Linked DNA regions of Struthio camelus. The protein of the gene in region 1 interacts with the protein of each later gene in a pairwise test. Links are inferred from orthologs where the notes say so. Each region holds a gene or a part of one and is shown in the gene's direction. Other genes may lie near its edges.

Region 1 (7,975 bases):
GTGCCGGGACCCCTCTCATTACCTCGTCTCCCCTGAGAGAGCTCAACCCTGCTCTCCGTACACCGTTGTGGGAATAATACTCAGGCACTGCTGCAATAGGTGGTTATTCGGTGCCGGCAACTTTGCAGTGATTTCCTAGCGGACAATCATATTCTGCCTCCTTTCTACCTCGCAGGGCCGTTTTGTAATCAGACAAGTGACGGAAAGCGCTGTGCCAAGAGTGCGCGGGATGCACGCGGACAAGGCACAACGCGACGCAGACAGCATGAGTCATTTCCCTTACAGCTTTTACAAGGCAGCGAGAAAGGCTGGATTGCTTCAGAATTGCTTCAGAGCTGGACTGTGCACGTGTACAGCACCCAGCCGGCTGTAGCTACCCCTCGATCAGAGCAACACGGTGCCTGGAAAGCCGGGAAAGAGGATCGTTCTTCCAGCCAGGCCTCCCGCCACTGCTCAGCCCCCTGGTCAACCCCTCCACCGGGGCCAAGGACCTTGGCGGGGGGTTGCAAACCAAGGCTAAAGCAGGGCAAAGGAGACAAGCGGATTTCCCCAGCCACAGCCCCAAACCATGCGCTTAGCCCCCGGCCTGGGGGTTTCCCAGAGGTGTGAGTCCAAGCAGAGATCCTGCCTGGAATTAACCACCGGGACAGCTTCCCCCGGGATGCTGTGGCTTCACCTCCACTCTTTCATTCAGGGGCAGCGCGAGGCTCCGAGCCACGCTCTGGTCCTACCGCATATCCTGGGCTCAGTGCAGAAGTTGCTGAGCAGCGTTCCTGAGCTTGTGCAATAGCCGGAGCACACAAGGTGACCCAAAAAGTCCTGTACAGGAGTCACGGGTGATTCATGGTGCTCACTGAACCGCGGGACCTGGGAGGCAGCTGTACTTGCACTCTGTCCTCGGCGCGTATAAAAACGCCCATCCCCATCCTCCATGGTAAAAAGTGGATTTTTTTTCCCTGGAGAAGAGTATGGGACCATCAGCCCTGGACAACCCATAGCTTATGGCTAGTGGGACACGGGCAGAGAAAAGGTTATCAGGAAACACTATACAGAGGATGGTCTCAGAGGCGTAGTGCCCGCAGAGGACGCGGGCTGTCACACAGCTGGCAGTGCGGCATGGCCACAGGTTCAAACGCAGCTTCCCCACGCTGCCGGCAGCATGCAGGCATGGCCCTCAGCGAGGGTGGCACGTGGGGCCTTTCGAAAGCACCGTCCATGGCTAATGACAGGCCGTCTGGCTAATTACAGGGGGAAGCAAATTTAATATGCAAAGGAAACCTAAGTATCAGGTTCATGCAAAGGAGCTGGGAGTCCAGCTGCCAGGCAGCTCCTGTGCAGGAGCCACCGCGGAGGGCACCCTGCCCTCTTTCCGCCCGTGCCCTTGAAGCTGTGGCCTCCAGAGGGCTGTTCGGCAGGCACCATGGGGCATGTTTGGTGGGTACCGTGGGGCAAATTTGGCGGGCACCATGGGGGATATTTGGCAGGCACCACGGGGCACATTTTGCAAACACCGTGGGGCACGTGTTGCAAACACCGTGGAACACATTTGGCAGGTACTGCTGGAGAAGGAGCCACCAGGAAATACGGAGGACGGGATGAGCAGTGATAGTCCATCTCAGAGGCTGACAGCTGCCCCAAACTTGGCTTGGGGCCAGCAGGTTACTTAAACAGTTAAAAAAGCCTCCCTATACAGTGACTTTCCCCGCTCTAGGGGCTCTTACAGGACAGAAACACAGCAACGCCGCGAGGATAACGTAGCGACTGCAAGGCTATGGGTGAAAAGGAAGGATGGCCCAGTGGCTGGAGCAACCCTGTGGTAACAGAGTCCAATCCCTTCTCTACCACTCGTCTGGGTATGCGGTGTTCCTGCCCCTCAGGTGTACCCTTTAAAGGAACTTAGGTGCCCAATTCATACACATCCATGGGCATTCGGTGCCCAAGTCGCTTAGTGCGTTGGCCACGGTCTCAGTGCCCTATTGCCTGCCTCACCGAGGGGATCTGAGGACATAGACTTGGGAGATATCATGGTAACCGATCCCAAACAAGGCATCAGAGATAGGAAACAGCACAATGGGAGGAAGGGAGAAGGGTGGGACGCGCGGCATGTTGTCCCATCCCCAGGGAAGGCCAGCAGGAAGAGGTGGGAATGGGAATTGTCAAGGGGAGCAATTTGGCACCTCAGGGAGTCACGGTCCAGTTCCCATGCACCAATACTGATGGGGGTCCAGGACCCCCTACCGATGCTGAAGGACCTTCTGCATTTCCAAGGAGGAGATGGGATCCCCCCAAGATCCTCCCTGGGGACCAAGGCTCCCAGCGCAGGGCACAAGGACCCCATCAGCAACTGGCTGGGGCTCTCAATCCAAACGAGGACCAACACGCTTGTGACCCAGCCCCTTGGGATGGGGAGCGAAGTGAACGGGCATTTTGGGGAGAGCTCAGCAGGGATGGAGAACATGAGAGGAGGCTCTGGTGAGGTGAAACAGGGCCCGTTTGCTCCGCTGTGATGGGTCGGAGGCCGGTGTTGGCTCTGACCTCTCCGTGTCCTTCTCTTGCTGAGCGCAGGAAGCATGGCTGCAGGGAAAGGCAGTGCTTCTCCGCTCTGACCGATGGCAATTTCTCAGTCTAAATATAGAAAATTCCACACGTGCCTCCGTACGGTCCAGGACCGTGATGAAATCAGTGCTGACTTTGTTAGGGCAGCGGCCAGGCTGACTTCAAGCCTTCCTCCACACGCTGGCAGGGCTCGATCTCTGCCCGGAACACTGGAGGAGCTGCGGTGGGGATGCTATGGCTGATTTTCTGTGCCCAAATGCATCCCAGAGCCCACCCAGGGCAGAAGCCAGCTTTTGAATCTGCAGGGGGGCCTTAACAAAATTAGGACCTCCGGGGCCTGGGCACGAGCTGAGTCCCAACAGACTCATCTCACACTAGGTAACTGTCAGCATGCCTGCAGCCTGTGCCTCCATCACTATCCCTGATGCTGGCAAAGTTTGGGGGACAGCACGGTCTCGGGGATACAGATGTCCATAAGACACATAGGCAAATCCCCCTGCTAGGGAGGCAGCGAGTTGAGCTGGGTGGACACACACCACGCTGCCAGGGGTCCTCCCAGAGAGCAGGCCTGGGCCTGTTTAATTTACTAGCGCAGATGTAGCCAGGGAGAACGGGAACGCAGCAGCTTCGGAGCTATGGAGAGCCAGCTGGATGGGTCGAAAACGGCTTTCTTGCCAAAGTTGATACTTTGAGTCTCAAGAATCAAGAGATCAGAACACACCCAGAACCTCCCTCCCAAGAAGCGGCCCTGGAACAGCTCCATCATGAACGTGCTCACGTAGAGCTCGATTTGGACATGGGTTTAGGCCTGTCCGGGATGTCCCCCTCCCTCTGGAAACAGTGATTATCCTGGTCCACGGAGTCGCTTCGTCCCTCATCCTGAGCAGCCACTGCGCGCCGGCACCGAGATACTTCCCCAGTGAAAGTTTTGTTGGGAAGAACGTGCTTCTCATTTGGACAGGCCGGTGGTTTCCACTGAAAAAGGCATCTCCTTAGAGCACATCCGGCTCGCCGTCACCCGCGCACCCCCAGCCCAAGCCCGTGCCGCAGGGCACGGTCGCAAGGGACTGCAACCCACGCTGCAATTCAGCCCCACGCCCGCTGGGATCCCAGCGCTTCGGCGCGCCGCCGGCCCTCGCCTGCTCGCACACCTGACTGCGGGGCTGTCGCCGGATCAGAGAGGCGTAAGCAAAGGACTTCAGCTTTGCAGCCCGTCTCCAGCACCGCTTCCCGTCCTCCGCTTGTGCTTTCGTAGCGTGGCTGAGCCGCCAGCTCGCGGCAAAGCCGTTCAGCTCCGTCCACCCCAAGCAGCAGAAACGCAGGCAGCGGTTCTTCCTCCTGCACCTTCACCGCGCAGCCGCAAGTCCGGAGAGGCGTCAGGCCCGAGGGGAGGCCGTACCCCGCGCGGACCCCACGCCATCGCCCTCTGCAGCCCGACAACAACTCGGTCTTCCCCCTAGGGCCTCCCTCTCCTGTCTTACCCGCTACCAGCTTCCTTTCTGCAAAAAAACCCCGCAGGCATCACCTGCTCGTCTGTCTGATAGCAGCAGAAGTAACAGCAGGGCTGGGGGAGGGGGGGAAAAGCGGCTGGACCTCGGTGCTCCAGCAGCAGGGCGACGGAGCGGGGCCTTGAGTCCGGCCTTACGGGTGCGCTGGAGTCATCCCTGGTGCTTTTTCTTCTGCTAAGGCCTCTTTCTCTCTCTCTCTCTCTCAGCTACATCATCAAAATAAGCTAAAGATAAAATTAAGTCAAACAAAGAAAAAAGCTGCGAGACGTCGCAGCGAAGTCGGCCGCTCAGGTAAAGCGAGCGCTCGAGCGACGCAGGCCCGCGGGCCCGCGCGGCGGCAAGGGCCGAGGGCTCTCGGCCCGGGGGCTGGCCAGCCCCGCCGAGCAGCTCCGCCGACCCCTGCCGCCTCGCCGCGGTTTCCCTGAGGAAGCCCGCCGCAAAACCCCACGGCGGCCACCGGCTCTCAGCCCTTCCCGGCAGCGCGGACGCGTCCCCGTGGGCCCCACATCCGCCTCCATCCCACTCGGGTGGCAAACGTCGCCCCGCGCAGCGAGGCCGCGCTGCCGCGGAGCCCCGGGACGGGCTCCGGCCCCCGCAAACCCACCCGACGGGGCAGCCCGGGCCTCTGGGGGGGCCACGGAGGGGCCACGGCCCGCGGGCAGCCCGGGGGGGGGGGGACGAGCCCTGCCAGGCCCCGCGCCCAGAGCCTCCCCTCCCCCCGGCCTGGCACCGCGCAGGGGCCCAGGCGTCCCGGCACCGCCCCACGTGGGTGCCAGCGCCGGCCCCGCCCTCCCGCGGGCGCGGCCTGCCTTAGCCCCTCCCCACGCCCCGCTCTGAGGGGCGGGGCCCCGTTCCCTCTGTCGCGTCACAGCGGCGGCCCCGCCCCCCGCGGTGCCCGGATGAGGCAGGTTTGGGAGCCGGCGGGGATGCTGCGGCTGTGACAGGGGATGCGCCCGGGTGAGTGAGGCCGCGGCGGCGGCGGCGTGGGGCGGCGGCTCGGCAGCGCGCCGTGCCGTGCCGTGCCGTGCCGTGCCGGCGCGCCGGGGGCGGCGCGGGGATCAGAGGGGCCGCGGCGCCTCACGGCGGCGGCGGCGGGAGGGGGCCGGCGGGCGGGCGGGCCGGGCCGGGCCGTACCGAGCAGGGCAGCGGGGTCCCGGGGGCCGCTGCCCCGCACCCCTCCGCCGATTGGCTGCAAATTGACAACGGGGCAGGTCCCGCCCCTCCCTCCCCGCCATTGGCCGGCGGCGGAGCCCCCGCCGCCTCCCATTGGCGACAGCGCGTGCCAGTCGCTCGGCGGCCCGGCCCTGCCCGCGCGGCCGCCGCCCTGCGCGAGCCGTTCCCCCCCCCCCGCCCCCCGCGCTCCCCCTCCCCGGGGCGCCGCCGCCGCCGTCTGAGGCGATGGGGGGGTGGGGGGCGCCGCCCGCGCCCGGCGGTGGCCGAGGAAACCGCGCTGGGATTCCGGCCGCCTCCGCCGGGCCGGGCCGGGCCGGGGCGGCGGCGGGGCCCCCGCGGGGCTATTTCTGTCTGCGCGCGCGTGCCTCCCCCGCGGCGGGGTGGCCGCCGCCGCCTCCCGGGCGTCGAGGTGTTTCCTCAGCGGGAGAGAGGCCGCGGTTTGCGTGGCGTGAACTTTGGCTGCCCGCGAGCAGTGGCCTTTGGGGGAGGGAACTTGTTTAAAAGGCAGTTTTGCTTTAGCGTGGAGGGGAAAATGGCTGGGACGACGTTTGGTTTGAAATATCTTTTCTACTAGTAGGTTCTTTCCCGGAAGGTAGTTGTGTTATAAAACTCTTAATCCGTGCCTGTCAGTTCACTGGAAGCTGCCCGCTACTTAATTCCGCGCAGGCAGTTCATAATTCATGGCTGGCCGCCCTCTTTGCACTCGTTGAAAGGAAACGCTTTTTCTGACTACGCTATCGCGTTTTGCTTCCTCTTGTTACACCTCTTGAAAGTTATCTCTGAGCCTGCAAAGGTGTCTCAAGAGTGGCAAGCCTGGTTCGGATTATCGAGTGTCTGAACAGGGAAGGAAGAACGTTTTGAGAACGATTCAGCCGAGCTGGGCACGCATCGTCTCAGAGCCCAGCGGTGCAGTTTTGGGGCAAGCGTTCAAGTGAGACTGCAGAATTCCGATGCGTTAAGGCAAAATTGCCCGACATACATGCAGTTTGTCCAGCTCGGGACTTATTCCTGGCTGTGCTCCGTTCTACAAGCGGAGAACGAATTTCAGACTAAGTGACTCACTCCCAAATCTCATCTTCGTTGGGACCGTGCGGCAATCTCTCTGTCATGTGACATGTGTTATGAGGGGACACTTGTTTTTCTGGCTGTCCACTTAAATGCAGTGAACTATGCTCCCTGGCTGTCCCCGTGCTGCTGCTGGGGAAGGGGGCAGCCAGGACAGCTTTGATGGCAGCAGTCTGCTTTTGACTACACCCCATCCTCAGAGCAATTTCTGAGTGCAGAAGGACTTACCTCTGTGTGCGTGTATGTAAAGCATGCGGCAGAGTAAGCTATGTGGTTTGCCTGGCTGTAAACAGGAATCACTGCTGCTCTCTTTATACTTCCTGTGCCTATTTTGTAGGTGGCTTGGTCCCATAAGGAGGTGTCTTTTCATTGTCCAGCTCCGGTAGAAGACAGATAGCTGGGCGTATGGTTCGCCACCGTTCTCTTCTTTGTGGTGAAGGGTCTTGCTGCTCAGGGAAGTGGTTGAAAGTTGTGAGAGCTGGCATGGTCTGGTCTATGCACGTCAGGTGGCCCACAGGACAGGGTTTGAGAAGACCCCTTACGCAGTGTGCCAGAGGAAATGCTAATTTATGCTCGCCTGTGATGAAGTTAGTTACAAGTATGCTTTCACTTTGCTGTCATGGGCTTTTCTCTCACAGTCACAATTTAAATAGTTGCTTTTGCAGAGATTGCATAAAATAGTTAGTAGATCGAATGCCTGCAATATTTGTCTGTAAATACTTTTCCAGGAATTTCGTGAAGGTTACTTTTTTTGGGAGGGGGAGGGGTATTATTCTCTCTAAGCTTAGCTAGGCCTGTTTTATTTTGTATAAGCATAACCAAACTTGAACAGACAATGCCTTCCAGTGTGAGTTTGGCCCAAATTGTGCCAGACATGGCATAAAGGATGAACAAGTTGACGCAAGAGAAAATACATTACTAGAGTTAGGCTTTCGGTTATGTCTTTTCCCATTAAAACATACCCTTCCTTCCTACTAGTGACGAGGAGAGCTGTCCTCACCCACACGTACCCCAGGTTTGTTGTTCTCTATCGGTTTGCATTGGGAGTGTTCAGTGACTCAGGGTTTCTCTGTTCCCTGTGAAACTTGGTCATGAGTGCAAATAGTGCTCTCTTAGGTCTGTGGCATTTATTCCTCAAAGAGGTGATTAAATGTGCAAAACTGCAGTAAAACAGTTACTTGGACATTTAAGGAAATTCTAAGTTGCAGAAGAAGTCTTGGACACCATAGAGGTAAGTGGCCTTGTCAAGGTCATTGCTCTATTTGGAGGCATTTGTGACTATAATAGGAAGCAGTTGTACTAGGGCAGAAGAGTGAAGTTGAAGTTTTTAGGTTTTTGTTTGTTTGTTTTTAAATTTGATGTGTCAGTCGTGTTGTGACTGTGTGCAGGCATTCTGTCCTGATAGTGCCAGATAATTATGGTGGAACATGATATGACGGGTGTGGGTGAATAGTTTGGTTTTTGAATTAGTAATGTTGCGCCTGCCTTGGAAAGATGCTCTCTTACTTTCAGACCTAGACCTTGCTATGCTCTATATTCATGTTTTATATGTCGAGGCAAATACCAGGCATTTTCCTTTTGACTTACACATGCCAAGATTTGATCTTGCATGCTGTTGCAAATTACAAATGTGAAGGTATGTGTTTTGAGCCATGTTGATTTAGTTTCCTTCC
Region 2 (7,915 bases), on another chromosome or scaffold:
CCGGGAGCCGGGGCGCGCTCTCGGCTGCCGCGAAGGGACCCTCTTCAGGCGACGCCGTGGGCTGCTTTACCCGCAGACGGGTGTTGAGTAGAGCTGGGGCTGGCTTGGGTGTCTGGTCCGGTCTTGGCGACCAGGCGCGAGCGCGGGGAGCAAATGCCCGTGCAGCCGAGACGTTCGCTCCGGGGTGCGACGCTGGAGCAGCCGGGAAAGGGCTGCGCGAGGGCTGGGATGCGCCAGCCCCCCGAAAATGAGCACGCTTCCTCGACGCCCCACGGCGCGCCGGGGCCTCGGCCGCTGGCGCCGAGCTCTTCCTCCCAGCGCGGAGCCTGGCGGAGGCTGGACTAAGCAAGCACCGCGGCACCGTCGGCATCGCCCGAGCGCCGGGGAGAGGCCGAGCCCAAGCACAGCGCTTCCCCGTGGCTTGTAAAAGCCACATCAGGATTTTCCAGTTACGTGTTTAAAAGGGGGGGTGAGGGAAGGAGAAAGGCTGCATCTCAGCTGCTCCCTGCTAAACCTCTCACCTCGCTCCTCTCCACCCCCCGACCCGTGTCTGGCACCCGGAGCCAGCTCGGGCCACCTTGGTCCCTCTGAGCGGATGGCCATAAGCCCTCGGGCCACCAAGGATGCCCCCCGGTGCAGGGACACAGGGCCGCCGGCTCCTGGCTGCCAGCTGGAGCTGGGGGGAGCCCCCTCCGCGGTGGCATTGGCACCCCGACGGGGGCAGACGTAGGCTTTTGCAGCCTCTACGTGGTGGCCTGGAGCAGCTACTTGAAGGAGCGAGTGGAGCAGGGTGCTGGCCGGGGTGGGGGGGCCGTGGCGCACCGGTGGTCCCGATTCTGCTGCACCTTCCCCACCCCACCAGGCGGTTGTTTGAGACCGGCCTCAGCACAAAAGCTCAAGGGTTTGTGGACTTTCCAGGAGGAAGCAAACCCAAAAGATTCCCTTTGCATCGTTTTCCTTTTCACGTGCGTTTCTGTCCCTGCCGCCTGGTGTCCTGCAGCAGCACGTTCCCCGGGAAAACGCCCCTCTCGCTTTCCAGCTGGCTGCTCCGTCGCTCCGGCCGCTATGTGCTCGTGCGTGACTCCAGCACTATATACTAGTAGCTTATTTTTGCCCCTTTGAGGCCGAAGGCCCATGGTGCTGCCCAAACGCGTCTCCCGATCCGGTGCAATGGCCGGTGCCGCCAGCCCTCTTCCGGCAGGGCTGGAGCGAGCGAGCCTGGCAGGGGCCGACGCTCTTGGAAAAAGCTGCAGGGAGGCACCCGTGGAGCAAGGAGAGGAGCAGCCCGGGCTGCCGTGGCCCTCCTGGGCTTGGCCACCCACCTCTGCTCCCCGGCCGGGCGCTTCTGCCTGGCGGAGAGCGACGTGGCCGTGCCCCGTTCCAGCTCCCGGCGTGGGGGAGAGGAGAGCCGGCCGCCTCCGAGCCGTTCTCCTCTCGGAGCAGTGACCTCAGCACAGCATCGCCTGCCAGGTGGGTGTTGATCTTGGCCTGGCCGGCTCTGTTCGGGGGCCAGGATGAGGCCGAGGCGGCGTGAACGGAGTGCCGAGCTCAGGGCCGAGCCCGGCAGGTGCCAGTGGGACCCAGCAGCGCCTGCGTCAAACACCGTCCCCACGAGACGGAAGGACATCCTTCAACAGCCTGGGAAATGGAGGCTGAGATGGTCGAGCTGAAGCAAAGCCCATGGCAATGGGCAGGAGACCTCGAGCCTGGTCTCTCCGGGCAAGGCTTTGCTCTCGAGGACTGCTGCTGCCATAGGGCCCGCAGCTCTCCGGAGTGGGGAGATGCCTCCAAATGATGTCTCCAAGGCCTTTGCCTTAGGAACCGCTGAGATCTAGCAGGATACGCAGGAATGACCCCTCTTACACACCTTCAAACCTAACAAAGAGTTTCAAAGCAATAAATTCACCCTCTTTGCTTCACCAGCGTGGGTCAGGGCAGTGCTGGAGTTCCCCCACCCTGGTTATGTATTTATTGGCTTTGGTCTGTAAGCTCGTGCTAGAGATAAAAACTAGCTCGTAGAAATGAAGCATTATGTTGAGAAGGAAGAGGAGGGACAATAGATGGGTTTTGATATGCATGTGGATAGCAGTGGATTTGCCATGTCACACACCTCTACGTGAGGTCACGGTCTCAACCGGGGCTAGGAGCCACTGCGGTCTCCTTAGCCAGTGGCTAAGTGGTGCCACCTTTCAGCATTAGTCATTCAAGACTTGTCCTGGAGGAAACCCCTCGTGACCGCTCTCTAGTCTGATGGTCAGTCTCACAACCCATTTCTGCCCTTCTGCTTCTGCTTGTTTCTTTCCCCATCTTTTTCAGTCTAATTGATGATTTCCCAAGTGGCAATAATCAAATGCTCTGCTGAAGACCATCTATCTTGATCTGCTTTATTTCCCTTGTTCCAGAGTAGGCATCTGCCATGGTTTACCTCTCAATAAATCCATGTCACGTTGTGTTTTCTCTGTGTCTTTGGTAACTTCCTCCATCAGAATATCTTGTCTAAAGCCTGGTGCTGCTGAAGCTGGTCTCACGGGTCCACGGATGCCTGAATCCTGTCCTCTAACACCTTTGACAAGAGCAAATGCCAAGTATATGCCATATCCGGACCCTGGCCCTTGTCGGTCCAACTGAATTCAATAACCAGCTCTGAGGGTGCATCTCTGAAGGTGAGCACCTCAGCCACAAATCTAGTGTTTGTTCATCCTTCGGTGTACTCCAGACTAATTCCACATGTGGCCGTTTCATCTGAGGTGAGTTTTTAAAATCATAACGTCCTTGTTATTTAACAAAACTAAGGCTAAAAACCAGCCTCCCCTTCTGCGGAGCCAGTAATTACTGGGTGATGAAATGTGTTGGTTTTCCCATCCTGATCTACTTGAGTCTCACTGCTTATTAACAACATTTACTTTCCGATCTACGCGTGGGAAGCTGAATAGCCCAGATTGACCCGTTCTCTGCCAGCATTCACAAATAGGGAGGAGGCCTTCAGCCAAAGGCGATTTAGTGGCAGGGATCTGGCAGAGATCTGTCCTGGGATCCAACCCCTCGCCTCTAACGGTGGTGTGAAGAGAGAGCTCCCAAGAGCATGGCCTGCGGCTGAAAGTCCGTGTCCTTTTGCGAGCGGCCAATTCCCTGCGTCTGGCAGAAACTCATTGCCGACAAAAAGGTCAGACAGAGCTTTGGAGAAGTCCCGAGGGATGGAAAAAATGTATTTCCTCCAGCTGCACTCCACTGAGTGACAACTCAACTGGTACTAAACCAGACAAGGAGGAGAGTAAGCGAGGAGCTAGCGGCCTGCTCTGGAGCACTTAATTAGGGTATGTTACTTATCTTCTAATCACACATAGACCCAGCACCTCCAAGTAATGGGATGGACGGGACGCTGGCGAGGCCAGGCAATGGGGATGCGCCGCAGGAGCTGAAGCCCTTCAGCTCTACCGTGTCTCCTCCTGGGAAGGGATTTGCCTCCAGGACAAGGACAGCAGGTTCCTCTAGCGGTGAGACCCAAAACGGGGCATCGCAGCAGGCGTGCAGAGACCATCCTGCCAGCCCGTGGTGACAGCGTGCCATGAGCACTGGCAGCTCGGCCAGCCTCCTCCTAGCTCCTCAGGTGGCACATTTTTAATTTAAAAAAAAAAAAAAAGTTTTAATGACGCTAGCATGGTTGAGCAGGTCTCATGGGGCCCTTGGTGGTTTGTGCATCAGGACTGCAGCCAGCCAAGGAAGTCAGGACAGCCGTCGCCATCCCAACTCCCGCGGTTTAGGGATGGGACGGAGGAGAGGGGTGATTCTCTCTCCTCCCGCGCCTGCTCCCCGTGGACACGTCGGCCCAGCTGTGGAGCAGATCCCGGCTGCCAGTACGAGTGAGGCTGTTTCTCCAGGCACTGGTTCAATTAAAAAATAATCCGTGGCTTAAAAAATCCAACAGTGCAAATGATGATGTGCTTAATTGGGCCCCCCCCGGAGAGCTCGCCTCTCCAAAGACTGTCCTGGCACCAGCCTAGAGGGCCTTCATCTTTTGCCGGGAAACAACGGATTCGGTTATTTTCGCAAGGCGAACAGAACGGCCAAACACAAAGCGGCTTTCTCCCGAGCGCTCCCTCTGCAGCATGCCATCTCGGGACCCAGCTGCGCTTCCCCTTCGGCAGGAACGGCGCCATCGTCTTGGCCTGATGCGAAGCATCGTCCCGCCCGTGTCCTGCACGGCGGACCCCGTGTGCGGAAAGGCGTGCGGGTGTCCGGCGACCGCGCAGGCGACACCGGAGCTGCCCGGCCCCGTGCCACGTGCCTGGAGCGGACGAGGATCCAGTTTGGGCTCGGCAGCATTACGGCCGCGGTGAATCCAATAGCTGCCCCGGCGTTCCCTGTGCAACAGGTACTTGGCTTTTTGGCAGAGCGGCCGCTCGGCCTCGGCGCTTGGGGTGATTTTTGGCAGCGCCGAGGAGAAGAGCAAAGGGCAGCGAGGGGCTTTCTGCCTCTTCGCTTCGTCTTGGCGGCAGCTGCCGGCGCCCCGAGCGGAGCCCTTGCAGGCTGCCCGGCGGGGGCCAGCGCCAGCGTCGCGGTGGGGGCGCGAGGGGCTCCCAAACGGGGCCGTCAGCCCCGGCTGCCCTCTGAAAGTCCTCGAAGGATTTTACGAAACGTGCCCGGAGGCGGCATCCCGAAACGTGCCGCTCCGGCTCCCGAGCGAAGCCTCCCTCCGGCTCCCGCTGACGCAGTGTCTGAGGCCGGCCCTGGCTCCCAACACACACACACACGCGCGCTATTTTTTTTTTTATTTTTTTAACTTTTTTTTTTTTTTTTTTTGGTGGTGGTGGTGGTGGTGTCCCTCCTCCTCCTCTCCCTCCTTCCCCCCCCCCGCCTCCCTGCCCGCCCCTCCGCCGTCCCCCGCGAGCCGGCGGGCAGCGAAGCGCGGCGGCGGCGCGGAGCGGCGCGGAGCGGAGCGCGGCAGCGCCGGGCATGAGGCGCGGCGGCTCCGCGGGGCCGCGGCTCCTGCGCGCCTGCCTCTGCCTGCTCGGCCTGCCGCTGGTGCTCGGCGCTGCGCAGCCAGGTGGGACCGCGGGGCTCTTTGTCCGACCCCCCCCTCCCCCCTCGGCCGCTCATTTTGGGACGGGGCGGGGTGGGGGGGGGGAAGGCGGCGAGACCCGCTTCGGGCTCGCCCAGTTCGGGTCGGTTTCGTTGCGTTCGCTTCGGATTTGTGGGTTGTTTTTTTTCGGTTTTTTTTTTTTTGGGGGGGGGGGAGTTTGCATTTAATTTCGTCGCCTTTCGGCTCCCCGCGCCGCCGGGCCGGCGGCCACGCAGCCGTCTGGGCAGCCGGAGCCAGACGGAAACGCCGCCGCGGCCCCGAGGGGGAGGCGGCGCCGCGCCGGGGGCGGCAGCGGGCGGCAGCGGGGCCCGGCGCGCCCCCGGCACCCGCCTCTGGCCCTTTTGTCTCGGCGGCGGCCGCCCGCGGGGGTGTTTTTTAAACCGGGGGTGGGGGGGGGGGGGCGGTGAAATCTGAAGTGGTTTATTAAGAGGTTTCCAGCGGGCTCCTTGCTCCCCTCCGGCCCGCGCCTCGCTGCTCGGACCGCGGCCCCAGTAGGTAGCTGCACACTTCCTTTCTTCCTAACTTTTCACAAGCCAGTCAATCGGTTCTTTTTTACCTTTTTTTTTTTTTTTTGCCCCCAAAAAACTCTCAAGACACCGTGTGCCACACGCCTGAGGCTCCTCAGGATGGCCCCGGAATAGCCCTGCGAAACGTTTTCTAACCCGGGATATGTCTATTGGCAGCAGCGAGCCACCGGTTTTGTTGCTTCCTTTAATTAATTTGGCCTTGCGGAGCAAATGAAAATTAAAAAAAAAAAAAAAAGAACAAAAACACAAGAGATCGAAACTGGCTACTTTGGCCTGACCAATAACAAACGTAAACCCCTTGGCCTGTTTTATTCGCGTACGTTTAGCAAATGCGAACCAGATTTGCAAATGGCAATAGGGGAGGGCGCCGTTGGCTCGCCTCCTCCCCGCTTGCCCCCAGCTTTTCCCCCTTCCCTCCCCGCGAAGGAGCCACGCGAGCAGGGCCGACCTCTGCATTCCTAGATGGGCTTTTGGGAAAGGTCGAGGCGAGAGGAAGCCACCACCTTGGGAAGGGACAAAAAGCGATTGAACGGTTGCGCTGTGTTGCAACAGTGTTCGGAGAAACTCCGGTGCCGAGGGAGAGCGCGAGAGAGAGCGTGAGCGGAGGCACGGATGGCAGAAAGGGCTTGTCTGAGAAATTCAGGAAGGGTTAAGCAATGGAAAAGAAATCCTCGTCTCGTCCGGGAGCGTTCAGGAGAGCGGTATCTAGGCTTTCTGCTGGTTGGAGACGGTCTCAGCTGAACCCCCCCAGCTTCTGCAGCTGAGCCTTCGCTAAACCCGGCCCAGCCCTGGGAATGGCTTGGCTCAAGGTCCGGAGAGGCTTCTTTTGCGGCCGCTGGTTTCGGGAGGGTTAATGTGACTCACTTTAAAAGCCCTCCTCCTCCTCCAGCGGGCTCCGGCGCCTAGATCCCTGGATTTCGGCAGAGGTCAGAGCCCCGGCTGCCTGTAGGGACCCAATTCTGGCGGTTTTGCCACGAAAAAAGCGCGTAGGAACCGGGAGCCGGAGGCCGTAACCCCGCGGCGAGCAGCGCCTCCGTCCCCGAGGTGCAACGCGGGTGCGCCGAGTCGGGCGTCAGGAGCAGGGCGGCTCGAGCTGGCGCCGCTTCGGGGCCGGAGGGCCAACGAGATGCCGCTCGGCCCCTTCGCAGCCCTGCCTTGCTAACGCTGAGGTTCCCGTAGGCGGCAGCGCGCAAAGCCGGCGGCCGCCGGCGGCCCGGCCCCGGCCCCGGGAGCCACCGCCGGTGCCACCGCGCTTGGCGGCGCTCGCCCGCTCGGGCCGTCGCGGGGAAGGAGGCCGCCAGCCTCCGCCGGCTCGTTAGTCTGACGAAGCGCTTTCGCTCCCCGTGCTCGCCCGCTTCCATCCCGTCCTCCGGGGTAATCTGAGCCTTTCCAATTATTGTTAATTCTGCGGGTAATTCAGTCTAAAGAGCCAGCGTGGAGGCGCGGGGCCCGGCCGAGCGCCAAGCTGAGTTTGCAGCTTCTCACTTGGCTTTGGGGCTCGGGGTGGATTAATCCCAAGCGCCCTTTTCCTGGCTGCTTTTCTAATAAAACTCCTCCAGCGTTGGCCCAGCAGAAAGGCTGGGTTTGCCCGGGAGCAGGCGGTTCCCGCGACGGGGTCGAGCCGCTCGCTGCCCGCCGGGACGGCGCAGAAGCACCCCGGGGCTTCGCGTGGGGGACGGCGGCTCCGGCGCGGGACGTCACGCGGCGGGGCAAGGCGGTCGCTCTGGTCGCGTTCATCCGGGGCCCTCCCGGCGTGGAGCCGCCCTCGTCCCGCGGCTTAGTGACCCGCAACGCCTGGAGAAAAACGTAATTTGGGAACGGCGTGGGCAACGGGCAGCTCTGCTGGGCGGGATGCGCCGTGGTCCGTCCTCGCCGCCGCCTGCGGCCTGCGACCGTGGGTGACGCCTCCCGCCGGGCTGCTGGTGCGGTCGAATCACAGCAGGGGCCAAAAAGGGACCGGGAGGAGAATTTACAGCCTTTAAACCGAGCCGAGCAGCCTTTGCATAAAATCCCACCCCCTCCCCACGCTCCATTTTCCCCTTTTCAATGAAAACGGCCCGTTGCGCTGTAAGCGTTACTCAGGAATTGATAGCGTGGTCGTCTTCCGATGGATTGGGAAATCAGAGCTGGAAGGAGGAACCGAGAAATAATAGTTGCTATTGCCGGCGAGGAAGCTCTGCTTGGCGTGGCGCAGGCCAGCCGGGGACCGGGCGACGCGAGGGGCCGGCAGGGCAACGGCTCCTTGCGCAAGACCCTCGGAAAGCAACGGGGAGTTATTCTTTCACTTCTCGCTGTGCAAAACCATCGT
Region 3 (7,658 bases), on another chromosome or scaffold:
CCAATCATTTAAAAAACAAACTGGCTGTGCAACTGGTAATAAACAGTTCTTCCTTTACATATATTCTACGCATGTATTTAGAAAGTGGTAAATACCACTAATGTCTAAAAGTATCACAAATGCTCAAGGACTTCATCTCTATAAACTGGATTCCTTTTCAAGTAACCAGGAAAAATACGGGACTTAGTCTTAAAAATGATGGGGTTATATATTTCAGCAGAACAAGTTTGAGCTCATCTCTGCGTTTTCCCACATGTACGCAGAGGAAGGTACGCTGATCGTAAACCACTGTCAAGATGACAGCTTGCACCAAGCAGAATTTCCTATCAGTCATTTTGTTCTTATACAACTATTTATTGCATAATGGTACAAAGTTTAGCTACCTGCAGATACTGTGCTTGGAAATAATAAATATGTACACTTATGACCACAGTAATTATATGACCACTTATGACCTGTAATTATTTTTGTATGTGACATTAGCCCACTGTTTTTCTTGTACTTAATCTCAGAAAACAAGCTCATCAGCTTTTAATACTTGCTTTAGTACATATTTTTACAGTATTACAAAAGTGAAGTTATTTGTATAGCTTACAAAAGCATAAGAGATTGAAAAGGCAATAAGTAATTCTACAGACAGCAGATCTCTGGTGTCAATTTGCAACTTGGAAAATATAAAGGATTCACTCATTAATAAAAGCACTACTTGTAGAGACGCAAATTAAGAGAACAGATTTGTTTCTAGAAGAATACCTCCAGGTAGCAAAGGTATTTCATCTCTATAAGGAAAACAATGCAAATGGCTTTATTAGCCGGACAAACAAAATTCAATTTCCTATTGCTAAGATAATACTTAGTAATAAATGAGTGAAAAATTATTTTCAATACCTTTTCAAGGAAATAGGGTCAGCATTTATCTATTAACTTCATAATGTTAAAGGGGACAACGAATGTTCTCAGAAACTGATGCCTGCCAATGAACAAATTTTACAGAATGAGTTAAGACGCTTTGAAGTGAAGAATTTAAGCCCATAACCATCTAGCTCTATGTGCTCGGTCATATTTCCTGAAAAATTCAGCTATAACACAAGAAAAATAAGCTCCATAATTCTAATCTGTTTTCCTTTTTTTGAACTTTTCCTGGATAGCAAGAGTCCATATTGCAGTGTTTCATTTTTTGTAAAAATAAAATGCCAGCCATTACTAAGTGATTACTTATATGTGGAAGAAAACTGTGGCACCTAGCTGCCTAGCCCTTTTGAATTGGAAACAATGCAAACAGATAAAATACGGTCCAAGCATCAGATTTTATAGAATCAGAGTATAAGTAGAAGGTGGCTGCAGTAAAAGGAAGTGGGTGAACAAGGTAAAAAGGACATGATTATGAAGAGCATAGTAAGAAGTGTGGTCACAGCGTATCAGCTATCTAAAAAGTCTGTTTTGTGTGAGGTGCTTGGCAAAAATGATTTTTCTGAAGTGGTAAGAGGAAGGAGATTGTCCTGGCTGAGAGGATAGCTTTCACTGAAACAGACTATCTCAGCTTCATTGTAATGCAAGGGTTGGGAAACATCAAATTCGGGTTTTGTAAAGAGAAGGGAACAAGGCTACGAGGACAAATTTGAACAACCCTTCTTTCATTTTCCACTGGAGTGAGGGAAACATGCACTTCTAGTCTGCAGAAATATATGAAATGGAAACCAGACCAAATTTAAAGGAACAGGAGTTTCCCTTCAAGCCAGCCTGTGATATAGCTACTGGCTGGAAGTATTCTTCTTTATAATAATCAGTAAAGGTCATATCGAACAGCTGGTTGTTTACTGCTATCTCATTGTCTTTATCTATCAGCAAGTCGGGTAAAACTGAGGAAGCTAGCAAGGTTACAGCAGGATACTCTGAAAATACCTGCTCAACTATTACTAGGAAAACTAGGCCTCCATGTTGCTCCCTGCACTGAAGTTGCTCATACCTGAACAAATCTGTGCGAAAGATACGTCTTTGGCTGTTAAAGTCCCTGGTCTGCCAACTATGGGAGGTTGGAAGAGTATTTGTGTAAATATCACCGTCTGCTCATCACACTCTTGTACTCTGCTCGGGGCGTTTGTTGGTATCCGTTGCCGTGTCTTCCATTTTTGGAGGCGCCACTAGTTCTAGGTCAGTGAGGGAAGCGGATGAAACAAGCTTCTAGTCCATCTCTCAATGCAATATAAAGTCCATTTAAATCAATTTAGTATAAAACCAATTGAATATAAAGTCCTCAAGCTGGGGATATATCAGATATTAAACTGGGAAGAGAAGACACTACGCTGAACCTCAGCTAGATCTTAATCTGTAGCATCATTCAGTAGCATAGTTAAGACCATGTTTCTGGTTAAGAAGCCAGAAGCTGGAATTTGGGTATGTGGGCTCTGCTTTTTGAAGCTATTCAAAAAAGGATGTGGATTTTGCTCAAAGACTGGATCTGCTTAATCATGAGGCTATAGAAGCATTGTAGCAATTTGTTAAATGTATAAACAGATGGAGGAGGCTCTCGGATCTGCCCTAAGATCTCTCTAGAGCTTTTTTTTTGGAGGGGGGGTATTGTTTTCTTTTAGAGTTTGGTATCATGATCATTTTAGATAGTACAAATATGAGCTGGAGTTAAAAAGGAGGGTTATACCACCACTTCTAGGCCAGTACACATAGCTTACGTGCCTCTGTCGTATTGGTACAAGTGTTCATGCAGTTCTCTGATCTAGCTGAAAAATACGAGCAGGAACACTTTGTTCGTTGATCTGTTTCACTATGCATGTGGGTACCTAGCTAAGAGATGTACTATGAAAACTCAGCAGTTGAAGACTGCTGAACTGCAGTGACTGCAGAAAGGCAGTGGGAAATGTAAGAATCTCCCAGTGAGTCTGTAATAGGATTTCTTTTGGTTTTAGAAGGAGGTGGAGAAGAAGGAAAGTTGCAGGAAATTTCAGTGGTAACAGTGAAGCCATTCTATTCAACAAAGTAGGGAAAAATCAAATCTATGCTAATGCAGTTGATGTTTACATTAGCGCTCAGAAGTTGGGGATGACTCAAATAAAGGATGACTGTGGTTAAAGCAGCAACGCCTGACTCAGGAAATCTGAGTGCATTTCCTGGCTTTGCTATCTCTTTAGCTTTGCGCAAGAGATTTAATCTCTCCCCACTTATTATTTTTTTCTTCCTGTACCACAGGGGAATAATTATACTTCCACATTGTTCTAAGAATAAATGTGACTGGAATATTCAGTTTCAGGCAAAAAGACATGTCAGAGCTTCATTGTTGTTCCTTATTTAAAAATAGGTCTTTTGTGCTATCCATGGGGCAGATGTACTGTAGCCTTCACATCACGTGTCTCAAAAGGTGCGGAGGCAGTGCTTGGGCTGACATCTGTAAGCAGTTCTTACACCCTTGGGCAGCCTGCCCAAATCCTAGTCAAGAGACTGCGGCAAATGATGCTTATCCATTACAGGGCTTTTCTTCTTCTGCAAGAGCACTGCTTGAAGCTATTGCATGACCTTTTTCCTCTGGGAGTTCTGATGTAGCAGGCATGCTAAAATTTAGAAAATATTGGCAGTGGAAACTCTGAAAACACTGAGAAAAATGATACTCAAATCTTAAGTGGATGCACAGAAATACAGATGCTGGCATGTGAAAACAATGCACATCTGAACAGCCCCAAGCACGCGAGGTGCTGAAACGCAGGCCCTAGGCATAAGCACGCAGATGCCTAGGCAAAGCATTGGGGTATAAACATTAACTCAGTTAAGTGACCCTGATAAAAGAAGTAATTTCAAGTGACTCTGGGCAAATAACTTTCTGAAGTTTGCAGAAGTTTCTGATATTGTCAGTGCTTTGTGATTTGTGGCACAAGTCCTACGCTTTTCATGTAGTTGGGACATTTGCAAGGTCTCTTTCCGTTGTGCATGGTCCGTAGTCCCAGCGCTAGGACACTTGTAGGCCTAACTACTACTTTTTTTTCAAATTGGTCTCCGGGTCCCCGAATTGTTGGGGCAGACTGATAGACGCGGGCGGTGGTGCTGCACCCACAGACATCGGCTCTGCCTGTGTCTCACGAGCCCAGCGTGAACCCAAGCGCCAAGGGCAGGACAGTTTGGGCAGCCCGGCGGGCAGCTGAGCAGGCGGGCGAGGTGACATGATAGCAGAGCCCCGGCGCTGCCCTCCGCCATGTCAAACGAGGACAAAGCTTCAGGGGCAAGGGGCGAGCGAAGGGGGGGGCCGGGGCTACGGCGATGTGAGCACGCCGGAGCCTCCCTGCACCCAGCTGGCAGGCACAGGGCCCCAGCTAGGCGGACACTGCCTGCGTCTGCCCGCAGAGCACCGGCTGCCCCCTCCCGCCGGCGGGAAAAACCGTTGGGAGGGCAGCGCGCGGCGCCTAACGGCCGACGCGCGGCTGGGCGGGGCGCGGCCCAACGGGCGTGCGCGCAACCACCGCCCCGCCAGGCCGCCCGGCGCGCCTGCGCGGCCGGCGCTGTGACGTCAGGGTGAGGCGAGGGGCGCGGCCGGGGGCAGGGGAGGGAGCCCGGCGCTGCCGCCGCCGCCGCCGCCGCGGGCGCCGGAGCATGCGCGGCCGCGGGCGCGCGCCCCTCCCACCGCGGGCGGGGAGGGGCGGGGCGGGGCGGGGCGGTTGGGCGGCCGGTACCTGGGGGCGCAGAGCGGCGCGGCCCCGCCAGGGGAGGGCACTGCTCCGGCCCGGCGCGGCGCGGCGCGGCGCGGCGGTGAGTGCGGCGGCCTCCGCCACCCCCTCGCGCCCCTTCCCTTCGCCGGGCGGCCGGGGGGGTCCGGCGTCCCCTCGCCGCCCTCCCTCGCGTCGGCGGGTCGCCGCCTGGGGCGGGCGGAGGATGCTGCGGCATCGGCGGCGCTGAGGCCGCGGGTCTGCGCTGCCGCGCGGGGGGCGGCGGCCGGGCCGGGGGCGGCGGCGGCCTCCCGCCGGGCGCTGCCTCGACCTTTCGGCGGGGCGGGCGAGGCTGGCCGCGTGCCCGGCTAGCCCCCGGCCTCGGCGGGCTGCGCTGCCCGGCGGTCAAGGGCGGGGGGGAGGGCGGGCCTGTCTTTGGGTGGCTCTGTCGGTTTGCCCGTATTCTGATTTTCTTCTGTTTGCTGAAGAGTGCCTGCAGGTATACCAGGAAGCTGAAGGCCCTGGTTGCAGAGATCCCCTTGTGTCTCCCCCATCCCCCCCCAAAGGGGAAGGTGCCAAGGCACCAAGTACGTGGGTGTTCACAGCCAACGGTCTAAAAAAAAAAAAAAGGCAATAGAGCATCTATTTCAGCTAAATCTATTCAGATATTGCGTATAGCAGGAAGAAAGTGTTACGTGTGTTATGCTGTTTTCTCTTCAGTGACGCTGAGAATTTGCCTTTCTCATCCAGAGCCTGCTGAAACATCATGTTCTGTCGATTGTACTCTGATACACAATGAAACATAGACAACTTCACCCTTTAACTCTGAGCCGGAGGAAACCGAGCTGTTCATCTTCAGTTAAAGAAAGAAAAAGTGAATGGGAACTTTGTGCTGCAGCAGATCATTAGTGTCCAGGCCAGACAACAAATTAAGGTAAGGATTGGAGATCTGGTTCATCTTTGTAATAAGATGTTTATCGGTTCTTTAAGGTCTTTGTTGAAAGTGTAGGATAGATGCTTCAGATCCTTAGAAGGCTTATTCCTGTATGTGGTCCTTGAGCCTGGTATTGGCGCAGAACAAAAAATTTTTTTTAACCAATGTATTAAAAGCAATATGAAGTTGGATTAATTTTTGTTGTTTTTTTGTGGAACTGAAAGCTGTTGTAAGTATTGCCTGAAATGTTAAAAATGTATTTTGCTGGGACAGTTGAACGTTTAGTGTGAGACAATAAATATTCAGATTTTTTTTTGTTGATGCTGACTGAAATTTGGCAGCTACTTCCTGAAGTGTAGAAGAGATCTCATAACTCTAAATTCTTTGAGCCCATTTTGATTGAATACCTAAAAGCTGTAGAGGTGAATGCCTAAAAAATAGAACATTAATAGTGACCAGCTACCTAAATATTAACCAAAAATCTATGTAAATATGCAACCTGAGATAGTCAAAATGCTTTTAAAATCAAAATTTAGATTTTACTCACATACTTTCCGTTATAGAGATCTTAATTATTTGGGTTGAAAAACTGCTAAGTATAGTCTTCTAATCATAAAACTATTTTAAATAGTTTAGAAGATCTCTGTATTTGATATTTTTTGTCTCTTATAACACCTTTTGTTTCTGAATCTAAGGAATTAATAATATATATGAACGCATAATAATGTGAATAATAATGATCCAAACTAACATGCAGTATTATGCTAGTGAGTAATTCAGTTTAATGGAACTGTTTGTGTAAATGCTTTCTGGAGTAAAACCTATTACTCTTGGACCTGATCATGGGTTGGGATGGATTTGCTGTTTGGAATAAACCATTTGCAAAGAAGAGTTGGTACAGGCTCTCTGGATGAAAAGCCGTCATGCCATCAGTCTTCACATGAAAATCAGACATATAAAGCTGTTAGAAAGTTTGTTTCTGTGGAAATTGGCAAGAGAGAATAAAACACAACCATTGCAGCGAGGGTTGTGTTGCTCTCTTCTTGCCACTATTTGAAAGTGTAAACAGCAGCGCCATCTTAGTTAGAAGCTTCCAGGCAGGGCTGAATTCCTTGCCAACAGGGATACTAAGAAGATAAAAATACTAATGGGGGTTTTGATAATTAGGTTTAAAGTTCTGCATTTTGTTTCAGCTGAAGCAATAAAAAAGCTTATATAAGTCTCTGGGTACCTGAACACGTTTATGTTACAAAAAAATCCCGATAGCATTAAAATAATTATTCAGAAGATGAAATTTAGCTAGTCAGTGTAGATCTTTGTATTTCTTGGTACCTCTGGGAAACATACTCCAGCTCACTTCTGAACTTCTATCAAGTGGGTATATTTTTTGAAGATATTCTAATCAAAAGTACTTGATTTGCAGAGTTCTAGGCCTTTCTTGCTAGCTATTATCCCTCTGTGCTAGAGGAAAGATCCATCTGGAACAGTTCGGTTGACAGTATCCTGTAGCACGTGGAGCGAGACAGTCTTCTCTCAGGGGTGCTTGCCACAGGTCCTGGGGGAAACTGATGTCACAAGTTCTCAGTGAGATGGCTTTTCCACTGTAATAGTTGTTGGGGTTTTCATGAGCGCTTAGTCTTCTGTAGAATACATTTTAATGGCTTTGACTGAAGCAGAAGTATGGTTAATGTCGGCAAGGTTCACGCTGTGAGAAAGGTCTCGACTTAGCCAGAGGAAAATAGCTGATAAGGTTTTACTTTTATGTGGTGGTTGAACAGGTTATAGATCTGGAATAACCCTTAAATTGCAAATTATTTCTGAATTTATTCCCTAAAGCAAAGGGACTGCTATGCATTTAGCCTAATTAGCCCTAATGGCTCGTGACACACACGGCACAAGCTAAGCTAAGTGTCGTGGGAGAACTGAATATTCTGGATTCTCTTTACTCAAATGATGTGTCATTAGAGCTGGAGATTCAGAAGTGTGTTTTAGACAGAAAATTTTTCACTAAAACGTTAACACGTGCGGTACTTCAACTCTATTTCCTTTTGTAAATCATGTTAAAGATGTGTTTTACTGAA
Region 4 (7,416 bases), on another chromosome or scaffold:
CCATTTCAGTTTAAGAGTTTAGTAATTTCAACCCTAATACCTAGACATATAGGTCTGAGCAGGTCTCTGGGTGTGAAAAATTTTTCTCACCTATCCCAGAATGTAGCTGCAAATAACTTATTAAAAGCACCCAAGGCTGCCTTGTTAACAGCAGAGCAGGAAGATAAGTCTTTAGGTTTTCTCTTTGATCCTCTCTGTTAATGCTCTGTGTTTAGAGGCCGCTGTGACACTGGAAGGGGTGGACTTTCCGCACAAGTAATGGTCTTTGTGACACCTTGCAGGCTGAAGCTTGTCTGCTGAACCAGCAGGATGGCTTTTCTTATTGTGCCTGTGGCTTCTGGAGTCAGAGCCCTTAGCCCATGTATTGGGTTTTGCAGCATTTGACTCATGATCCTTTGTGCTGGGTATCCAGTTTGCGAGTGCTTTCTGTAAGTGCTGTATTGTTTCCAGTCCTGCAACTGTCCTAGAGCCTTAAAATACTTTTTCCTATAGAGGATTTGCTGTCTTGGAGAGATGAATTTTACTGACCTTCTGTTCAAATGCTTCCTCCTCCTCCCATCCTATAGCTCTCATGCTTGTGGCATCCAACTAAAAAATGGTTTTTGTTGCTGATGCTTCTTATTGCGATCTTATTGGAAAACCTGAGTGTAGTAGAGGCCTTGAATCAAAAGCCTGTGTGATAGTTTCTGATCTTTGAGCAGCTTCAGGGGCCATCACAAATAAGAGCATTCGTACCTAGTTGTTTGTACCGAACCAGCTGTTTGGTACTGATTGATATATTTGTCAAGTAGAGCCGTGCACAAGATTAAAGAGGTTTCTGTCAGTGAAACTAGTGTGCTTTGGCTTATGTAATCCTACAGGGGTTTTTAGTGTTTTGTATTGCAGGGAAACTGTAGGTGCCTTCAGCATTAGATCTAAACAGTGAATTATATAGTGGAAAACTTTTCACTTCATATTTAACTGCTTTTCTTTGAGCAACAACCATTGTAAACTTGTTGGTGAGACTTGAACTGAGGAAATGATGGTTCCTAGTTGTTAATGGTATTTTTAGTGAGAGCCCTATCCTACTCGCAGAGATAATGAGAATAGTAACTCCCTTAATGTCTGGGTTGCACTAAAATCTGCTGATACCTGAATACGGTTGTCTTGATCCTGCATTGCCGTGGGCTGTGCCTATATAAGGTGTGTGACGAGTGTGACCATTGCTTGAGCAATTGTCCCATGAAAATAGTGAGTACACAGTGCAGGGCTTTCCTGGCCAGTGGAGCAGCAAGCACAGAAGTATAAACGTGCTGTGCCCAGTGCAGCAGAGATGGACAACAAAATACATGGCTATGTCTTGATGAACTTTGTAATGGACCTAGATAAAAAAAAACCCAACTCTTTAGCCTTTAATAAAATGGAAATTCCCTTTTGTTTTGAAGTACCAGAGAGGTCTGGGACCACTTCTTATTCTATGAAGTTGTCCCATGAGGAAGAAATATAGCTTGTTTTCAGAAACTAGCAGTATCTTATGGTTAAATTATTAGCAAAGAATCCAGGTCGTTAGCAGGATGGTAGGTCAGATAAGGAAACTGCTCTCCTTCCCTCAGCATTTTGAATGCTGCACGTCTGACTGCAGACTATACAGACATGGATGCTCTCTGTAGGCTGTATGAGTTCTAGTATCGATGATATAGGTTGAGCCTGCAGAATTCATAAGGAAAGGGGAATATAAATGCTTGTCATTGACAACATTAACCCCCTTTCCTGGGTGATGCCAAACCCTCCCTGCTTACAGGCAACTTCTGCCTGGCTTCTGAGGATGCTCCTGAAGGAGAAATGTTTTGACTAGATTGTACTAAATACTGAGTGTACGCAAAGTGTTTCACTAGGAGGCCCCTGTTTTCCCAGCTACCGAGGCTTTAGCCCACAGTTTAAAATCAATCTGCACATAAGAGTGTCAGGGAGAATGAGGGTTGGGGAGTGAACCAAGATTGTGTGTGGACAATATTAGGAGACAGGACCTTAAGATGGGTTTTGAAATGATGGGGTTTGCCTAGGCCCTGAACACTGAAGGCCACCTCTCCATTGTCATACAGCAACTTAGAGAGCATGGAAGAAAGGATGAATGGTACTATAGAAGGAAGACTGGGTCTGGAAAGGATGGCTGTAACCTAGTATTTGTACTGTGATAATGCCCTGGTGATGGAGGTGGGGCTGATTCCCAGATGCTGGGTGCGTTAGGAAAGGCTACGCTGATGTCCCCAGTGAGGCTGGGGAGCTTGGAAATGGCTTTTGTGTTGATGTTATCTGCAGAGAGGTGTGAAATGACCCTTTTTATCTGTAAGCATAAAAAGATAAACTGCTGCAGTTAAAAACAGCTGGCATTAGGCTTTGGAAATGGGCAGCAGATCAGAAATCAGAAGGGAGGCAATAAGGCAACCAGAGGGAAACTAAATGCTAAACCTCTGGATGTGTACTTCTATTTTTGTGGTCCCCAGCCCTGACATATGCTTTGCTTTTCAATTCCTCTTCAATTCCTGTAGTAAACAGTAAGGTCAGACAAGATGTGACCGGGATCTCGGTGCTGTTCCTGTTTGTTCAATGTCATCGGGATACTCAAGCTTCCACAGGGAAGGATTCAGCCCTTTTATCAAGTGCAATATATCTAGTCAGTGGGCACACATCCAAATCCAGCTTTCTCTGCCCCACGGCTGGTGTATTAAGTGGAGTTCAGATGTAGAAAATTCACATTCCTGGTGTATTATTGAGTAGGAATCAGATGTAGAAAACTCATGTTCCTCTGCCTAAAATATTCTTGGGTAAAATAGGAAAGGTTCTGCCAGACTTGGCTGCTAACCTGCCTTCCAGATTGAGATCTGATGTGAAAGGTGCCACTTGCAACCAGTTGGCTCTGAGATTTCTGCTCTTTTGGACTGTTTCCTGAGGTGCACTAGACTGCTGCTTAGCTCTTTCCAAGTGCTTCAGTGAGTCCCCCTGTGGTGACCAGGCTCCAGGAGATGTTTTGTCCTTGCGTTTTCTCCAGCTGACTTCCACCCCTGCACCTATAGAGCCCCTTAAGCATCACGTGTTTCCAATGGCAAAGGAGAGATGATGGGATATTTTCCTGACAGGGGCATGGGAACCTGCTGGTTGAGGCTCCAGTCCTGAGAGAAGGAGATGCATGCATGGTGCAAATGGATTATGCAGGGGTGATGCAGCTGCAGATGTGGGTATTGTGATGGTTGTTTTAGCTTTCTAGTGGTCCAGGTAGCAGAGACAACTGTGAGGTGTGACAAACACTCCCGTATACATTGGTGATGTTCTGGATGGGGGAATGGTAATGCTTCTCCTTAAGAAGGCTGTTAGCTGTAGAGCTGTTTGTGACTTTAGTGGAATGAGGAGCTGGTGAGGCTTCAAACAGCTGAACATGAAAAAGGAAGGTGCCCAAATGGCAAATGTCTGTCTGTCTGTCTTTGTGCTTCAAATCTTGATAGCTAGGCTCAGGGAATAATAGTTAACACAGCCACTAACAAAGCACAAACAAGTATTCCTCACAGGGCTCCCTTGAGATGGCAATTTTTGTCTGAAATCACAAATATCAGCCTGATGACAGAGAAATAACATCACTTAAACAGTTGAGCCAATGTGTGAGCTGGGACGAGCACCTGAGAAGGAGTTTGAAACCAAGCTCTCTACCCCAAAGCCCCTTAGGACTGCGAAGAATATAGACTAGGTGAAGGTACCTGCACTAACATGCGATTTTACTTATCTTTTCCAAAACAATCATGCCCCACAGCCCATGAAGAAAAAAAGAAATGGGGGATTTTTTTTTCTTGTAGCCACACTGACCTGTACTTTCAGTCCCCGACTACCTGCCCGCTAAGCCCCGCGGTTAATCCTCAGAGGGGGGATGGCAGCGGGGGGGAGAGCAGGGAGCCCCGCCGGGGCGGCCGTGCCCGCACCTGTGCGCGGCCGCGGGGCGCCTCCGCCCGGCGGCGCGGGCTGAACCGCGGCGGAGGGCAGGCGGCGGCGGGGGCAGCCTGCGCCGCGGGCGTCCCGGCCGCGCTGAGCCAGCCCCCGCCGGTCGGCAGGGAGCGGCGGGGCCGGGCCGGGCCGTCACGGCGGCGAGGGGCATTGTCGGCAGCGGGGCGGCGGCGGCGGCGGGGGGAGCCGGGCGGTGGGAACAATAGCGGCGGAGGGAGGGGAGGGGAGGCGGCAGGCGCGGAGCCGGCGGCGGCGGCGGGGCTCGGCAGCCGCAGCGCAGCCGGCCGGCAGCCGCAGCCCAGCCCCGGGGCAGCCGCCCCGCAAGCTCCGCCGGAGGGATGAGTCGGGAGGCGCTCGGCTGGGCTCGCCGCTAAAAGCGCCTCCATCCATCCCTCCCTCCCTCCCTTTCTCCCTCCCTCCCTCCTTCGCTCCCTCCCTCTTTTTTTTCTCTCTCTCTCGGCTCTCCTCCTCCCTAACTCACTGGATATTAGCAGCCGCCGGCCTCGCCGCCGCCTCTCCCCCAGCCATGAATCCCGCCGAAGGGGCAGCGGAGGACGGCGCTGTCCCCGACTCCGAGGTGGATGCCTTCTTCCGCACAGGTACGGCAGCGGCGGGGGCGCGGCGCGGCGGCCGCGGAGGGCTCCGCCGCGGGATGCGGAGCTCGCCCTGGCACCGGGCGAGAAAGCGGCGGCGGGGTTTGGGGGGGGGGGAGGGAGGAGGGTGTCCCCGCCGGCCTCGCTTTGTCTGTCCGCCCGCCCGCCCGCCCCCCCGGCGCGGCTGCCGGGGGGCGCCCCTTGCCCGCGGCGGCCGGGAGGATGCGCCGCCGCGGGGCTGCCTTCCGCGGGCGGCGCAGCGACGGGGCGATCGCCGACGGGAGGCAGGGAGGGCTGGCAGCGCCGCCGCCCCCTCGCCTTGCGCCGGGGAGGCACAAAAGCCGCGCGGAGAGAGGGGGCATCCGCGCCCGCGGAGGGCGGGAGCGGGCGGGCTCGGGCGCGGGACGCTTTTTAGGGGAGCGGAGCCAGCTGCCCACCCTCACCCCCGCTAGGGCACGGCCCCGGGCGGCCGGACCCCGCTGGCCCGGCGGGACGCGGCCTTTCGGGGCAGCCCGGCTCCCGCCCGGGGGGACCCGCCGAGCGTTTCGGGGCTCCGCGCTGAGCGGGTGCTCAGGTGGAGCAGAAGTGCGGTTAGGCTGCGTGGAGCGGGGCCTTCGTTACCCGCGCAGCGGTTAGTTAAATCCTGTGGGCGGTGGGTGCGCGCCAGGGCTGCGCTACCTGTTCGTGAAGGTGTGGCGTGCCCGGTGGCCCTCTGAAACCCGGCTTTGCGCAGGACGAAAATCTCACGTGAAACGACCTGTGGTATTTTTCTCCCCCTGTTCTGCAGCTAGAATCTTAAGAAAGCATTACAGGTTTCTTGGTAGATTTTTAATTAAAAACTGTAAAGGATTAACTCCTTGTTTCATAAGGGGATTGACCCTTTTAGGCTAGGAATGACACTTAACTGCCACAGCTGTTTGTCAAGACTCTGCTTTTCAGCTGTTTTTCTCCTACCTGATGGTTTGCTGTGCGGAGTGCTTGGAGCTCCAATTACAAAAAACAATTATGTAATCACTGAAACTTTAAAGAAGTTCATTCCTGCAGGCCTGCAGCAGCTCTGTGGCTCCGCGCTATGGTAGACTACACCCCATTTATGTGAAAACCCTTTGATCTAGAGAATAACTGTAATAGGGATCGGCTGTGTAGATCTTGTAATCCATAATCCATTAAACCGAGGAATATTTGTATGTTGATTGCCTACCTGTTTACAAGCAGATTTCCCAAGTTTCAGCAGTATCATTATTTGTGGGCTCCTGAAAATTTGTAGAAGAAAAAAAAATCACCAGTTTTCCTTTTGAACACACTCTCTTAATTAAGGTTCCTCCCCAATTCCTATCTTTTCCCTATTTCCCCCAAAGCTGAATCGTTTTCCAGTGACACTGCCTTCTCAGTGTAAGCAGGTTGGCAGAACTGAACTTGGAGAGAGTGAGGTCTGTGTCACTTCTGAGAAAAAAGTATTCCTAAATAAGGACAGAGCACAAAGAATCGTATGATTAGACACTCTTTGCATTCTGTCTTCACCAGAAACTGTACCTACAGAATCACAAATACACTTGTTACCTGCCCCATGCATTTAACCAGGAGTTTCCAGAAAGTCTTTATTTCTGCTTCTAAGGGAAACACAGTCATAGAAACATAGGCCTGGAAGGGATGTCTAGGCCACATCCTTACACTGAGGCAAGAGTAACTACGTTAAGTCCATACCTGATGGCTGTCAAATCTACTTTAAAAAGCTTCATTGAAGATGACTGCAAAATTCTTGTTTCTGCACCATTACATACCTTTCCGGGCACAAAATGCTGACATGAAAAAAAAAAATCTGTTAATAATTCATCTTTATTTTTGTGAGTTGTAATTACCAGGCAAATATCACTGAGAAATAGGGAAAAAGGAGTGATAGCAGGCTTGACTCCTATGAAATTGCAATGTATTTATTGGTGTGAGGTGGCTTCTGTGGTTCTTGTGTGCCCTGTTTGTGTCTGGGAGTTGCATGCTCATGTTGTGACTGCCTGAAGCTGCTATTGGTTTTAATGGACAGAACAGCTGATGTGGTGCTTAAGAGAGAAACTGTAGCTAAGATGTTCAGCAAATGCAGCTGACACTTCCAGCCCGCTTTTCCTCAGGAATCAGTGGCAGGCCTGCCTGAGAAAGGAGTATGAGACTGGGTCTAGTCTATAATAGCTGCAGAGACCTGAATAAACTTTTTAGCATCCAGATACTCTCTTATTCCTTCTGTCTTGACTTGTATTCTGGGTTTCTAAAATATCACCATTGCTGCTTACATGCTTTTGTATATTGAACAGCACAGCAAATAAAAATGAATCTATGTGGCTGAAATGTTAGCTGTTTCTGTAGTGCAAGTGCACACTAAACCACCTAAACTCTTTCCGAGTTTGTAGCTGCCGCACGGAAAAGCATAAACTTGTGCTTTGTTATTCCCAGTGAAAAAAAATGGAGTCCGAACAACTCACATCTCACTCGGAGGCTTTTAGCGAGCAGATGGGCTTTGCGTGGAGCCTTGAGGATCGATAGGCTGCTCTCTGGGAGCAGCCGTGGAGGCTAATGCTGAGGATGGCGCCACAGCTCCCACACTAGCACCCAAACGTGCAGGCGTAGGGGCCTGCTATTGGTAATACCAATTATGATAGTAGGTCTCTAATCTGTGTGTGGAAAACCAAACCAAATGAATTAACACGAGGTAGTGAAGGAGGGCCTGTTCTTGAGCTTGTGCTGATGAGAACTAGGAATAACTTTTCAGAAATGGGTGGATTTTCACCTGTGTGGTTGGTATTGGAATTCAGTTAAGTGTCCCTAGGGAAATGTAGGATTGGGACTACTCTTAACTTTCACAGCC

Evidence for each region.
Region 2: the proteins of NDEL1 (region 1) and MRC2 interact in a two-hybrid assay, tested with the Homo sapiens proteins (2 studies listed by BioGRID and IntAct). The link is inferred for Struthio camelus from reciprocal best matches to the Homo sapiens genes NDEL1 and MRC2.
Region 3: the proteins of NDEL1 (region 1) and CCSER2 interact in binary tests that used the Homo sapiens proteins (3 or more experiments, as listed by UniProt). The link is inferred for Struthio camelus from reciprocal best matches to the Homo sapiens genes NDEL1 and CCSER2.
Region 4: the proteins of NDEL1 (region 1) and KALRN interact in a two-hybrid assay, tested with the Homo sapiens proteins (2 studies listed by BioGRID and IntAct). The link is inferred for Struthio camelus from reciprocal best matches to the Homo sapiens genes NDEL1 and KALRN.

What each region holds. Positions count from the first base shown.
Region 1 is NC_090960.1:13,233,682-13,241,656, reverse strand, and holds the start of NDEL1 (nuclear distribution protein nudE-like 1), read left to right. Parts: upstream 1-4,969; 5' UTR 4,970-5,021; intron 5,022-5,488; exon of another isoform or gene 5,489-7,533; intron 7,534-7,975. UniProt on the Homo sapiens protein: Required for organization of the cellular microtubule array and microtubule anchoring at the centrosome. May regulate microtubule organization at least in part by targeting the microtubule severing protein KATNA1 to the centrosome.
Region 2 is NC_090966.1:3,743,066-3,750,980, forward strand, and holds the start of MRC2 (C-type mannose receptor 2), read left to right. Parts: upstream 1-4,906; 5' UTR 4,907-4,953; coding exon 4,954-5,044; intron 5,045-7,915. UniProt on the Homo sapiens protein: May play a role as endocytotic lectin receptor displaying calcium-dependent lectin activity. Internalizes glycosylated ligands from the extracellular space for release in an endosomal compartment via clathrin-mediated endocytosis.
Region 3 is NC_090948.1:35,183,382-35,191,039, reverse strand, and holds the start of CCSER2 (serine-rich coiled-coil domain-containing protein 2), read left to right. Parts: upstream 1-4,655; 5' UTR 4,656-4,746; intron 4,747-4,993; exon of another isoform or gene 4,994-5,230; intron 5,231-5,393; 5' UTR 5,394-5,577; intron 5,578-7,658. UniProt on the Homo sapiens protein: Microtubule-binding protein which might play a role in microtubule bundling.
Region 4 is NC_090947.1:34,426,487-34,433,902, forward strand, and holds the start of KALRN (kalirin), read left to right. Parts: upstream 1-4,412; 5' UTR 4,413-4,495; coding exon 4,496-4,568; intron 4,569-7,416. UniProt on the Homo sapiens protein: Promotes the exchange of GDP by GTP. Activates specific Rho GTPase family members, thereby inducing various signaling mechanisms that regulate neuronal shape, growth, and plasticity, through their effects on the actin cytoskeleton.